Linked DNA regions of Drosophila melanogaster. The protein of the gene in region 2 purifies or fractionates together with the protein of the main gene of each other region. This does not show direct contact. Each region holds a gene or a part of one and is shown on either strand. Other genes may lie near its edges.

Region 1 (6,147 bases), 190 kb from region 2:
TGCTGATGCTGATGATGATAATGCTGCTGATGATGCTGCTGTTGCTGCCTTGGACTGGTGCGCCGACGCCTGGTTTGCCGCCTCCGTCGACGACTTCTGTCGCTTTCAGTCGCCGAAGCGACTGCACGCCTTCTTCCACCGGCACTGGGTGCACCACTGGTCGCGTTTCTCCATGCCGTACACCTTGCGGCACTTTTTGTTCTCGCCACGCGTCCTCTTGCCGGGCGAATGGGGCGTATGCTTGACGGCTACCTGTTGCGCCATGTGCTGTTGCTGCTGCAGCGGATTGCTTCCGTTGCTGTGGTTGTTACTGTTGTTTTGGGCAACCATGTTGCCGGCAGTTGTCTGTGGATGCTGCTGCTGGTGGCCGCGCATCGGTTGGTGGTGGTGCTGCTGCTGCGCCGGATGGAAATTGGGCGTGATCGTCACACTGGACAGGAGATGTTGCTGCTGCTGTTGGTGGCTGTGTTGCTGCTGCTGCTGGTGGTGTTGCTGCTGCTGCAGTTGCTGCTGCTGCTGGCTGTGGTGCGCCGTCACTGTGACGTTCTGCTGCGACAGCTGCTGCAGCATGTTGTTGGCACTGCTATTGCTGTGGATCACTGGACTGCTGCTGCTGCTGCTGTTGCTGCTGCCGCTGCTGCCGGCGTAATTGTGGTGGTGCGTGTGTTGGTGGTGCTGCTGTTGCTGGACGTACGTCGGCGATGGATATGGCGCTACCGAGTGGGTCGGACGGGAGGACGACGAGCGAGCGTGCTTGCCGATCGGCGAGGCTGATGAACTGGCCGCCACCGACCCCGTCCCCGTGGAGGAGTAGCTGCCCACTGTCGCCGTCGCCGCCGGGCATGTGTAGTTGTGGTGGGCTAGGTGCGAAGTGGGGATGCAGCTGGTGTTGTTGTTCTGCAGCTGCTGCTGGTGGGTGCTCGGGATGTTGCTGCCACTGATGGTGCGTCCGTGCGACTGCGCTAGATGGTTATAGTGGCTACCGCCGCGTCCTTGCCTGGAAAATCGAAAAAGGATAATGTCATTAAATGTATCTATATCGTGCACCAAGAGAACCCACTTGAAGTTGCCAACAATCTGCTTCTGGTACTCGGGATCCTCGTGCGGCGGACGCGCCATGTCCCGGTGACTCAGAGTCGGCTCGGAGGCCAGAGTGGGCTTCACCTGCTCGACGTCGTCGTCGGCATCCTCGAGGTAGAAGTCCTCCTCATTTCCGTCATCATCCGCGGAGCGATGGGAGTCCTTTCTGCAATGCCACCGAAAAATAGCGAAATTGATTAGAAGGATGTGTCAGTGATGGCAAGTTTGCTTCAGTTATGTACCTAGGTTCGGTATTACTTCAAATCAGATTGATAGCTTTTAAATTAACGAACTTAAGTTGTCTAACGTTGTTTATTCGATTTAATTCAATTCAAACAAATAGGAAAAATATTTTAAAATGAATGCTAAAAATTGCTGTTAAACTTTGGTCAATATTTATTAAGGTACCTCATTTAGGTACCTACTCTCCATTTCAAGCGACCGCTTTTTTGTACTAGCGTTGCCAACTAGCCGACCACCCACATTAGGTTCGAGGCCCTGCTAGAAGTGTTCCAGAGTTCTGAACCTTGATTCTATCCACTTAAAAAACTATATTATTTCTTTTTACATTTCTTTTCCCCGCACTATTTTTTTTCAATTATATTTCAAAATGAAATTGAGATTGATGCAAGCTTCCTTGCATACAATTCTTTTGTAAATCTCACTAGACTGAAAAATCGCTTAGTCTTAAGGTAGTGCGCGGTAATAATCCTATCGAAAAGCATCGGACTTGGTCCCACCTCTAGCCTCAACTATTTGTTCCAGCTCTAGCACTTTTTGCAAAAAAGAACGCATGTTCCGTGTGAAATCAATACGAAATCAACAAGAGCGATCGATTTTGAGTAATCGTCCGAGTTGAAAAGCAGCGCACTATATAGTTCCCAGCGCCAATTAATCCAGCTGCCCGAGTCACCAGCCATTTTGTGTGTGGTGGAAAATTTTGCAGATAGAAAAAATTGCGCGTCTGTCTGTCTGCATCTGCGTATCTGTGTGTGTGCGTGTGCTAGAGTGTTTGTGTGTGTGCGTGCGTGCGTGTGTATAGCGAGGTCTACATTGTCAATTAACAAGGGAAAAAAGACGCTTGTGGTCCTGCTTTGTTCCTTTGCCTCTTTACCCTCCAAAAAGCCAGCCAACATGTCCAGCCTGCGACCCGAGGAGGCCCGAAAACTGGCCACCGCCGCCTCCGTTTCGCCGCTGAGCAATTGCCAATTTTGCGGCGTGGTAATCAGCTCGATTGCCGACGAGCAGAAGCTAGAGTTTACCAACAAATACAAGGGAAGCTGCACGCTGCTCTGCAGCTACGATTCCCAGGGTGTCGTCCTCCGTGTTGTGTCAGGTAAAAGAGGACATCGAATGTTTCATAAAACCCGTTCCTTATATCGCCAATCTCTCCACCAGACGACGACCGGAGCCACGTGCTCAAGGAGTACATGATAGCCGCCGATACGGATGCCGCCCAAATGGGACGAAGGAGTTATGCCGTTTCCCTGGACGCCGACAATCTAGTGCTGAGGTTTGCCAGCGAGCAGGACCAGCAGCTCTTCCGCAAAGTGGTGGAGAACGTGAAGCACTTGAGACCCAAGTCCGTGTTCTCGCAGCGCACTGAGGAGTCGTCCGCCTCGCAGTACTTCCAGTTCTACGGCTACCTCAGTCAGCAGCAGAACATGATGCAGGACTATGTAAGGACAAGCACGTATCAGCGGGCCATTCTAGGCAATGCTGTGGATTTTCAGGACAAGATCGTCCTGGATGTGGGCGCCGGCTCGGGCATTCTCTCCTTCTTTGCCGTGCAGGCGGGAGCTGCCAAAGTGTACGCCATTGAGGCTTCCAACATGGCCCAGTACGCCCAGCAGCTGGTTGAGTCCAACAATGTGCAGCATAAGATCTCTGTGATACCGGGGAAGATCGAGGAGATCGAGCTGCCCGAGAAAGTGGACGTTATCATATCAGAGCCTATGGGCTATATGCTGTACAACGAGCGCATGTTGGAGACCTATCTGCATGCCAGAAAGTGGCTCAAGCCGCAAGGAAAGATGTACCCCACGCACGGCGACTTGCACATAGCACCCTTTTCGGACGAATCGCTCTACTCGGAACAATATAACAAGGCCAACTTCTGGTACCAGTCGGCGTTCCACGGCGTTGACCTTACCACGCTGCACAAAGAGGGCATGAAGGAGTACTTCCGACAGCCCATTGTGGACACCTTCGACATCCGCATATGCATGGCCAAGTCGGTGCGGCACGTGTGCGACTTTCTCAACGATAAGGAGGACGATCTGCATTTGATAAGTAAGTACCCGAAAAAGTGATTTGCGACAATGGCCAACTGTTGACTTTCCGCAGGCATCCCCCTGGAGTTTCACATTCTGCAAACTGGCATCTGCCATGGGCTGGCCTTTTGGTTTGATGTGGAGTTTAGCGGCAGCAGCCAGAATGTGTGGCTCTCAACGTCGCCCACAGCGCCTCTGACACATTGGTATCAGGTTCGCTGCCTTCTGCCCATGCCCATCTTTATTAAGCAGGGCCAGACGCTGACCGGCCGTGTCTTACTGGAGGCCAATCGGCGGCAGTCGTATGACGTGACCATCGACCTACACATCGAAGGCACGCTGATTTCGTCGAGCAACACCCTGGACCTTAAGAATCCGTATTTTCGGTACACGGGGGCCCCGGTCCAGGCACCGCCGGGGACTAGTACCCAAAGTCCATCTGAGCAGTACTGGACACAAGTGGACACGCAAGGATCACGCAATTGTAAGAACAAATCCTTGATATAATAATCTCATTGCTTATGTGATTATAATTTCTATAGCTTCAAGCATGCTAAATGGAGGGATCAGCGTGAACGGAATAGGCGAAGGCATGGACATCACTCATGGACTTATGCATCCGCACTAGGGGGGCGGTGGATCGAATAACAATACATCTTTCTGGGAATTCCCTTTGCTCTAAGTCCGCTCACTTTCTACGCTTGATCCTAATTTTGCCAATTTTTGTTTTGTTACAGTTTATGATTAGGTTATTTATTGAAAAGTGTAAAATATTTTTATCTATTTTCGAAAGTTAGTTCTGTTCTGTTTTGCATACCTTTTAACAACCTCTTTCCCTATCGTGCTATACTTATCCTCCCTTCTCTTACCCATTTAATCGATCGGACAAATCGAAGGAAATCCAGCATCCCAGCAAGTAACCAACATACAAACAATCAACAAATCAAGGCAGACTAATGTAGTTGTTTAGAACACGCAGCATATTAATAAGCCTAAGCTAATTTAAGCCCATAGTAATTAGAGTTTTTAACGTATGTGAATTGTAATACCGATATTTAGCCCGCACGGGACTGCGCTTCAGGAAGTTTATTAGTTAATATGCCGATTGCCAATTGCAGATTTTGCCGTAAGCTTTGAACAAACCAACAAATTCAGATTGTACTGTATCTATTATGTGTGTTATTATACTATATATTGTGTGTACCTCCAGCTAGTTTCAATTTTTGTACTTGTCGACCGTGTTTATGTTTAGTTCGTTTCAAAATGTAAGAAATTGCTCATAGGATTTAGTGCTAAGCTACGATATCATTACTAAAGGCCGACCTGGGTCGAGAGATTATACTTATACCCCCAATACGATTATGATTAATTCAGTTCAGTGGAGGCACACCTCGTTCGATCCTAAGTTACGCATCCAAGCCCAGATCCTGTCATAGACCCAACTATATCGCTGCCAGCAAGCCGAGCGCTATATAAGCATATACACCTAGATATACGCGTTAGGTACGCCAACCTATACACACCCCGACATTCTCGCATTCGTATCCTGTTTGCGGACTGTACTTTATAGAGCAGCAAGTAGAAACACAAAAACACTACAACACCCAATACACTGCAAACATAAATATAAAGCAAAACATATACAATTATATATATATATATATATATACGAATAGATATACCGCATGTATGCAGATGAGAGAACAATGTCAAAGCAAAAGCAGCAAAAAACAAAGCCCCACCGCGTCTTTTATTTGTGCACCCCCACTTGGAACCCCTCTCGATTTACATAGGAAACGAGATTGGCAAGTGTCAAAGCTCAGCGCGGATCGTGTGTGGGCGCTTTGAATTGGACCTTGGCCTCAAAAGCGCCACCACCACTGCACCTGCCACCCACTGCTGCTATTGCTGGCCTGCTGCTGCAGGTGCGCATTGCAAAGTAATCTGCGTGCTGGAGAGGGGCTACGCCGCACTCGTGTGACCTGCTTACTGTGCTCGAGTGCTCTACTTTCGAGGCACCACCAACACCACCTTCAGCACCCGCTCCGGGCGTGTGGAAGTGCTGGCGGGGAAGGAACGAGAAGGTCGGGTGGCTAAGTCAAGGCCCCGCCCACTTGCTGCTCGCCACCTAATCCTCTGATAGCAGTGCCATTCCCACTTGTACACTTACCCCAAATGTGTTTTCCTAATGTGACGCACGACTCCATTGAGATCGTCTACCACGCCAACACATCCTCGATAGACGCATCGGAACTTTTTGGACTGCAATGACAAGAGAAGGTGATTCTGATTAGATTGATTACATATTACATATTATTAGTTTGCTCTTGAATATAAATATTAATTAAATATATCCTTTAATATCTAGCGTACTTGGCGGGAATACGGCTGCATCACTGAATCCTCGGAGGAAGACGTGGAGGAGCGCGAGCAACTATCCCCCGTGGGACTGTGGCGACCGTAGCCCTCGTAGTCACTGCGCTCCACGTAGTAATTCATTGCCATAGTGTGCATGATGGTGGTTCTGCAGCAGCTCTCCAACTGGCGGCTCTTTAGCGGTTGCAGTCGCAGCTGTGGAGCAGTAGCAGGAACAGGAGCGATTCGAACCGGTGCCGGCCCGGTGCCAAGTGCGACTGTGTGAGTGCGGACAATGCAACTGGCTGGCTGGCTGGCTGCTTGGCTGAAAGCCAGATTCGAAGTCCTTGGACTCCCGAGCGGCAAACGATGCCGCCCGAACGAGCTGGCTGCCTGGCTGGCCATGCTCGATGCCGCCTGCACTGATAACAGGGCCCGG
Region 2 (6,645 bases):
GGATTCTCGTAGTGCGGCAGCAGATAGTCTACCACCTCGTGATTACCTAACTGGCAGGCGTAGTGCAGAGCCGTTCGTCCAGTCCGATCAGCCAGCGTGAGATTGGCTCCGGCTAGCCGAAATGACTCCAATCGCTTGATCTTGCCCCGCTCGGTAAGGGCACGTAGTAGCTCCGCCTGGACCAGCGGCTGATCGTTCAGCTTGGCGCCGTTCTTGAGCAGAGCGTTGATTATATCATGGTTGTCCGTGTCGATGGCCTCGTGCAACGGCGTGCGGTTGAATCGATCGTGGACATTTACCGGACAGCCGGCGGAAATTAGAAAGCAAACGCAGTTCAGTTTGCCCAGGAAGCAGGCCAGGTGCATGGCGGAGCGACCATCGCAGTTGGTGTCGCACAGATTGGCGCCGTACTGCTTAAGATCGCCCAACTTGTGGACATCACCTTCGGTGACCGCGGCCGCCACCAAAGCGGGATAGAATGTGGAGCACATCTGCTGCCGTTCCATCGCCGTCGACATGTGCAATGTGCGGGCCACGCCCTCGATCAGATCAATGTCGTTAATCTTGGCAACCTTATTGGTGGTCAGCTCTCCGCGCAAACTTAGTAGCATCACCTTCTTCTTGTTGGGAATGTCCCACTCCGGCTTGGACAGCACATAGGCCAGTTTGGTAAAGGCTGCCTCCTGAGTCATATCGTAGCCGGGTATTACGCCCACTTCCATCAGACCCTGGCTTGTCTCGTAAATGTTGGCCACCATGCCCGCCGAGCACTGCGTAATGTTGACAATAATAACGCCTCTGTGAACCGCCTCCCTCAGTTCGTCCAGCAAGTCCTCACGATTAACCGGAAAATTGCCGGCCCCAAAGGTCTGGAGGACAACACCTTTCGTTGGCTCTTTCAGGATTGCCTGCACCACACTGGCACTTATTCCCGGGTAAATACGCAGCAGCGCCACGTTCTTTTCGAGTTCCGAATGAAGTGAAAATGGTTTAATATTGCACGGTCGGAAGATTTGGCGGCTGTTGATCTCAATGTTGACACTCGCCCGACCCAATGGTGCAAAATTTGGTGAGTCCAGTGCGTGAAAAGAGTCAGAATTGAGCTTCGTGGAGCGACAGCCACGTAGAATCTTGTTGCCGAAGAAGACCAGCACTTCGGGTATACTGTAATTTCCTGCTATGAGAAGTGCGCCCAAGAAGTTCTCCCGCCCATCGCTGCGGGCTTCAAAGATCGGAATCTGTGCCCCAGTGAATACCACGGGCTTGTTCAGGCTCTCAAGCATGAACGCTAGTGCCGAGGCGGAGTAGGCTAGGGTATCCGTTCCATGGAGGATCACAAAGCCGTCGTAGGACTTGTATGTCTTCTGCGAAAAAAGTTAGTTGCATATTTTGTATTAACCTGATGATCCTCGACTCTCAACTTACTCCCACTTCGTTGGCAATGCGCTTCCAGTCGCAGAAGCCCATGCAGCTGGAGTCCATCAGTGGGCAGAACTCAATCAAATCGTAAAGGACTCTATACGGAGCTCCAGACACTGCGGGTAGCACCATCATGGGACCATCATTATCCTTGCTGGTGTAATTCCTGTCGTGGCAGCTGGGAAACTCTTGAAGCTGCCGAGCCAGCACCTTGGGCGCGGTGTGCAGTACTGATGAGAAACAATTGATTAGTACACGGACAAGAGCCATTGATATACCCACCTCCGGACTCGTTGCGGATCATTCCGATGGTTCCACCCACGTAGATGACATGGACGCGAGCCTCCTTCTTCAAACAACCGCACTTCGCCGCCGGCATTTTGGGCTTTTTCGAAATTTTGAGTGGTGTCCGAAACTAAACTAAAGCGTAGTTCCAAAGGCTCAGAGTGTGACAGCAAGATCCATGAGCTTTTTGTTTTGATGCTTAATACAAGTCATAACTTTACAATATTTTCAAATTTACCACCAAGCGAAATAAACCGTTGCTTGACGAAAAGGTGGTATGACCGTATTGCATGGGAATTTAACCGAGAGTTAGAGATGTACACTGCTTCACAAGAAATATCGTTGCTTATAATTGTGGAAATGCATATACTTTCTGATGCCCAAATTAATTTTATTTCTATATTAATTATTTTTTAATGATGAATTGTTGTTTGGAAACCATCAAAAACCTTGGTGAGTTAACACATACAAAATCAAAAGTGGAAAGTTCAGCAAAACAACTAAATGCAACAGGGACCCCCCGTAAACAGTGACTCGTCATGGCTGGGAACAGTCACGACCAATTTGCCCATCCCTAGTTTCTACAGTGCAGTGCAACAAATAATAAATAAATAAATAGCCTGGCACAAAGAGTTAATCGAATAAATTGCACCCCGCAGCGCACGTCAAGTGGGTTGGGTACCGAAATCGCGAGTTATCTGCTCCGCTGACGCCGCTGCCACTGCTCCGCCATATCAGTTGCTGATTGGAGCGCTGGGAGCACGGAAGCCACACAAATAGAGGCGCATTTAGAGCAATCCCCACCGTCCGCTGCTGCGGCAGCCCGCGGGTCATCGGATTGCCATGTCCCACTTCACGCATGCCTCCAGCAGCGACCTGGTCAACCTCAATGTGGGTGGTCAGCGGTAAGAACAAAGAACCAACACATTACGGCCCACTAACGGCATTGATGACGCATGCAAACTCCATCTCACTATCCATAGCTTTTCCACGTCGCGGCAAACGCTTACGTGGATCCCGGACACCTTCTTCACGGCTCTTCTCAGCGGACGCATCTCGAGTCTCAGAGACGAGCACAATGCCATCTTTATTGATCGCGATCCGACGCTCTTCTCGATCATACTTAACTACTTAAGGACCAAGGACATCGACATCAAGAACTGCGAAATACGCGCTCTGCGCCATGAGGCCGAGTACTATGGCATCACGCCGCTGACCAAGCGCCTGGCCCTCTGCGAAGACCTTAACCACTCGTCCTGCGGTGATTTGCTGTTCTACGGATTTCTGGCGGCGCCGCCCATGCCGTCAAACGAAGCTGTGGCTGCTACTAGCGTTGACGAGTCATTGCCCTCCACTTCGGCCAGTGCGATTGGCAGTCGTCCTGGGTCCATGGTGCGCGTTCCCGAACCCTCACGCTCCTCACACTCGCGCAATTCATCATGGGATCTGCGCCTTGGTCGCACAGGTAGCACTGGCAATGGTGCCAATCCCCCAGCTCCCATGTTGCACTCACGTAATCCCTCGATTGACTTTATGCGCCACTCTCGGAACTCCTCGGCCGATCTGAACAAAGTCTTTCGAAACGAAGTTGGCCTGGTATTCAGTCCCACGCAGAACTCAAACTGGGTGGACCCGTTGCGAGTGCAAATCATTAAGGCGCACCAAAATTGGATAGCAGTGGCTTACGCACACTTTGTGACTTGCTACCGGGTGAAAGACTCCAACGGATGGCAGCAGGTGTTCACATCGCCCCACATCGACGCCACTATCGAAAGAATCGCCATCAACTCAAAGGTGAATACTTCCGCAGCAGAGCCACTGCCCAGCAAGATGGTGGCCATTTCTTACGGCAGTCAGATAAGATTGTGGAGCATTCAGGAGGGCGGCCAGAAAACGGATGTGGGCACGTTTAATTTAAATGTGCGAGTGGAGTACCTGTTCTTTATCGGCAGTCAGCTGGTGGCCCTGTCATCTTCCGGCAAGATCGGCGTCTGGCATGCGATGACGCAGCACTGGCAGATTCAGGACCTAGTGCCCGTGCTCTCATTCGATTCCGCAGGCTCTTTTTTGCTGCTGGGCTGCAACAACGGCTCCATTTACTACATAGACATGCAGAAGTTCCCGCTCCGGATAAAGGACAATGATTTACTGGTTACCGAGCTCTACAAAGATGTCACACTAGACCCTATCACGGCCATCTCGGTCTACCTTACCCCAAAAACCTCGAGCATAAGTGGCAATTGGATTGAAATTGCCTATGGCACAAAGTCGGGAGCGGTTCGAATCATTGTCCAGCATCCGGAGACAGCTGGCCATGGACCACACCTGTTCGAGACCTTCTTTGTGCACCAAAGCCCCGTAACGAAGGTGATGCTGTCGGAGAAATACCTCGTCTCCGTGTGCAGCGAATACCACCACGTGCGAACATGGCGTCTGACCCGCTTCCGGGGCATGCTCTCCACCCAGCCGGGATCCACGCCGGAAGCATCGTTCAAAATCGTGTCGCTGGAAGCTACCGATACGAGCTACAGCTATGCGGCTGGAAATGATTTTGGACCTTACGGTGACTACGACGACATGATATTTGTGCAAAAGGTGGTGCCCGAGACGGATCAGCTGTACGTACGCTTGGCCTCCAACGGTGATCGGGTGTGCGTCATTAGATCCGTAGATAGCTCCACAATTTCGGCCTTCTGTGTGCTCGAGTGCGAGGTATCGTCCCGGTTCATACTCACCGGTCACTGCAACGGCGCTATTCAAATGTGGGACCTAACCACTGCACTGGCGCTGCTCTCCAAGGATGAGCCGCAGCAGAAAATCAATGGCGGACCCGACACCAATGAGCTTCTCCGCCTACTTGACCAGTGTGAAATCAGCAATTCATCATGCACAACACCTTGTATGTCACCGTGTCTATCAGCTATGGGCAACGGCTCTGGAATGGCCTCCTCCATAGCCCGCATGAAAGCCAGCAACATAGCCCTGCTAAATCGGGAACCAGCAATGGCAATGGCCGTCCAAGCCGTCCAGCCGCCCGCTCAGGTCCAACCTGCTCTTCCAGAGGCTGTGGCGCCGGCAGCTGCTATCCCGATGGCTGACGACAACAACGAATGAGACGTGGAAGCGGCTGCTTGATTGGCGCTTGTCGGGCGCGTTTCATCGTTTACATTTCACAGGTATAGCTTAATCTTCGACTACCAGTTTATATTCCTGCAGTTCGTGGTGTGCGCCCTCATCTACGTCTGGGTGACGCGACTCACCCGCGGTCCAGCCACTGGGCCGTGATGAACTGCCAGCAGGCATTTACCCAATCAATTAATCTCCATTATATGTGCTCGATGTGTTTGCAAATGCAATGTGTATCCCGTAAACCCATTTTTTGTGCTCCTCCAAACTTGGATCGTACAGTTAGTAATTTAAAAAAAAAACGTCTGTCTTTGTTCTAGTTAAAGTTATGAAAATTAGTTAAAACCATGTAAACCAGAGTATAAGACTTCTGCAACCGATCATCTATAATTAGCACAACTCTCCTAAAGGGTGCTCCATCAGGACAGATACGAAATCGTTCGGCTTGGATAAGATTGGTTGCCTTAAGCAAAGAAAGTTCATTAAACAGCCAATCAGTTGATTGTCAACCTTGAAGATGATTACTTGTGATTAAAATCGATAGAGCGACTGCTTCAAATTCGAATCTGTCCTGTTGCATGCAATGCCACACATGAATATAATGATACGCCTTGTTGCAACCAGTAAACAGCTATACATATTCAATATAAATAAAGATAATTATACACAAAGAGATATCAAAATAGCGAGCGAGTTGTGTCATCAATAATTTATTGAACATTTTATCTTAGTTTCTTGATGGTTGAAGTGTTCCATTAACATTTATCAAATACAAATACTTGGCTTGCATTCTCGTGGGTGTTGTGTGTGTAAATACGTGTATATACGATATCCTACGCCTATACCGGACCTCAGTAAAGTAAAAAAGCAGCAAAAACGCCAAAACATATAAAAATATATATAATATACATTTGTGTATTGTAGGTAAGTTACCCCAACCCAACCCCGACCGCCATTTAAATATCATTGGCCTAAACACAACCCACTAACGACCGCCGGTGTGCTTAATAAACAATTTAAACAAGTGGCTCGTCAAGTGGGACCCCTGCCTTTAATTTACCTAAAATAGGACGCACTGGTACTGAGATAGAATAATAATAATGGAGTAGATACTTGGAGCGATTACCCACCCTCGCCCGGAAGCAATTGTCGAGCCGTTCATACAAATAGTTTGTACACAAATTCAACCTAAAGCTATGCTATATTCTAAAGGGCAAACCGATATGAAGCTGTGCCATTCTGGGATATCTGTTGTCCCGGATTTGCCCGTGGGTCAGTGACCCGTTGCCGTGCAATCTAAGACTGTCGCTTAGCGGTCGCCGTTCCTAACTACGATGAAGCGTTAATGTGTATGGGGGATCTGTGCATTGAATGGATGATATGTGTGCGTAAAGAATTGCTTAGCAAAAACTGATGAGGGGAGATCCAGCTCACTGGACACGGGCTACACGTGAAAGTAGTCGTCCACTAGCAACTGTTCACTTGGTGTAAATGCTGCCCCACTCCGCGGACTGCTCGTCTGCGTGTCTGACTCCTGATCCGTCTGCAGCGGCTCGTAGCCGGGCTCTATCCCACTGCTAGTGTTGGTCGTCGCTGTTGTCGTTGTCGCTGTATTGGACGCCGTGGTGAGATAGCACACCGACTCATAGTTAGGATCCGTTTCGCTCCCCGTGCCCGTCAGCGATTCATATTGCGAGGAGATCGGCGTGCTGGTGGCAACCGTTGAAGAGTTAAGCGACACGGAATTGGATGTGGAGCTGGGCGATGTGGGGGTCAAGCGACTGCTGCTACTGCCCGGCGTTCCTGCAACCGCAT

The links. Proteins that work in one complex are often made in the same cells at the same time.
Region 1: the proteins of CG9467 (region 2) and Art4 purify together in Drosophila melanogaster (affinity purification with mass spectrometry, with the first as the bait; one large-scale study listed by BioGRID). This does not show direct contact.

What each region holds. Positions count from the first base shown.
Region 1 is NT_033777.3:9,981,747-9,987,893, reverse strand, and holds Art4 (arginine methyltransferase 4), read left to right. Parts: upstream 1-1,833; 5' UTR 1,834-2,214; coding exon 2,215-2,416; intron 2,417-2,478; coding exon 2,479-3,372; intron 3,373-3,426; coding exon 3,427-3,837; intron 3,838-3,895; coding exon 3,896-3,981; 3' UTR 3,982-5,078; downstream 5,079-6,147. Other genes in the region: Glut4EF (glucose transporter 4 enhancer factor), read right to left, coding at 106-997, 1,061-1,246, 5,524-5,615. UniProt on the Drosophila melanogaster protein: Methylates (mono- and asymmetric dimethylation) the guanidino nitrogens of arginyl residues in proteins. May methylate histone H3 at 'Arg-17' and activate transcription via chromatin remodeling. Coordinates ecdysone-mediated expression of cell death genes.
Region 2 is NT_033777.3:9,796,633-9,803,277, reverse strand, and holds CG9467 (uncharacterized protein), read left to right. Parts: upstream 1-2,251; 5' UTR 2,252-2,547; coding exon 2,548-2,609; intron 2,610-2,687; coding exon 2,688-4,818; coding exon of another isoform or gene 4,819-4,989; 3' UTR 4,990-5,509; downstream 5,510-6,645. Other genes in the region: CG8526 (uncharacterized protein), read right to left, coding at 1-1,364, 1,426-1,649, 1,702-1,798; CG8516 (uncharacterized protein), read right to left, coding at 6,275-6,645.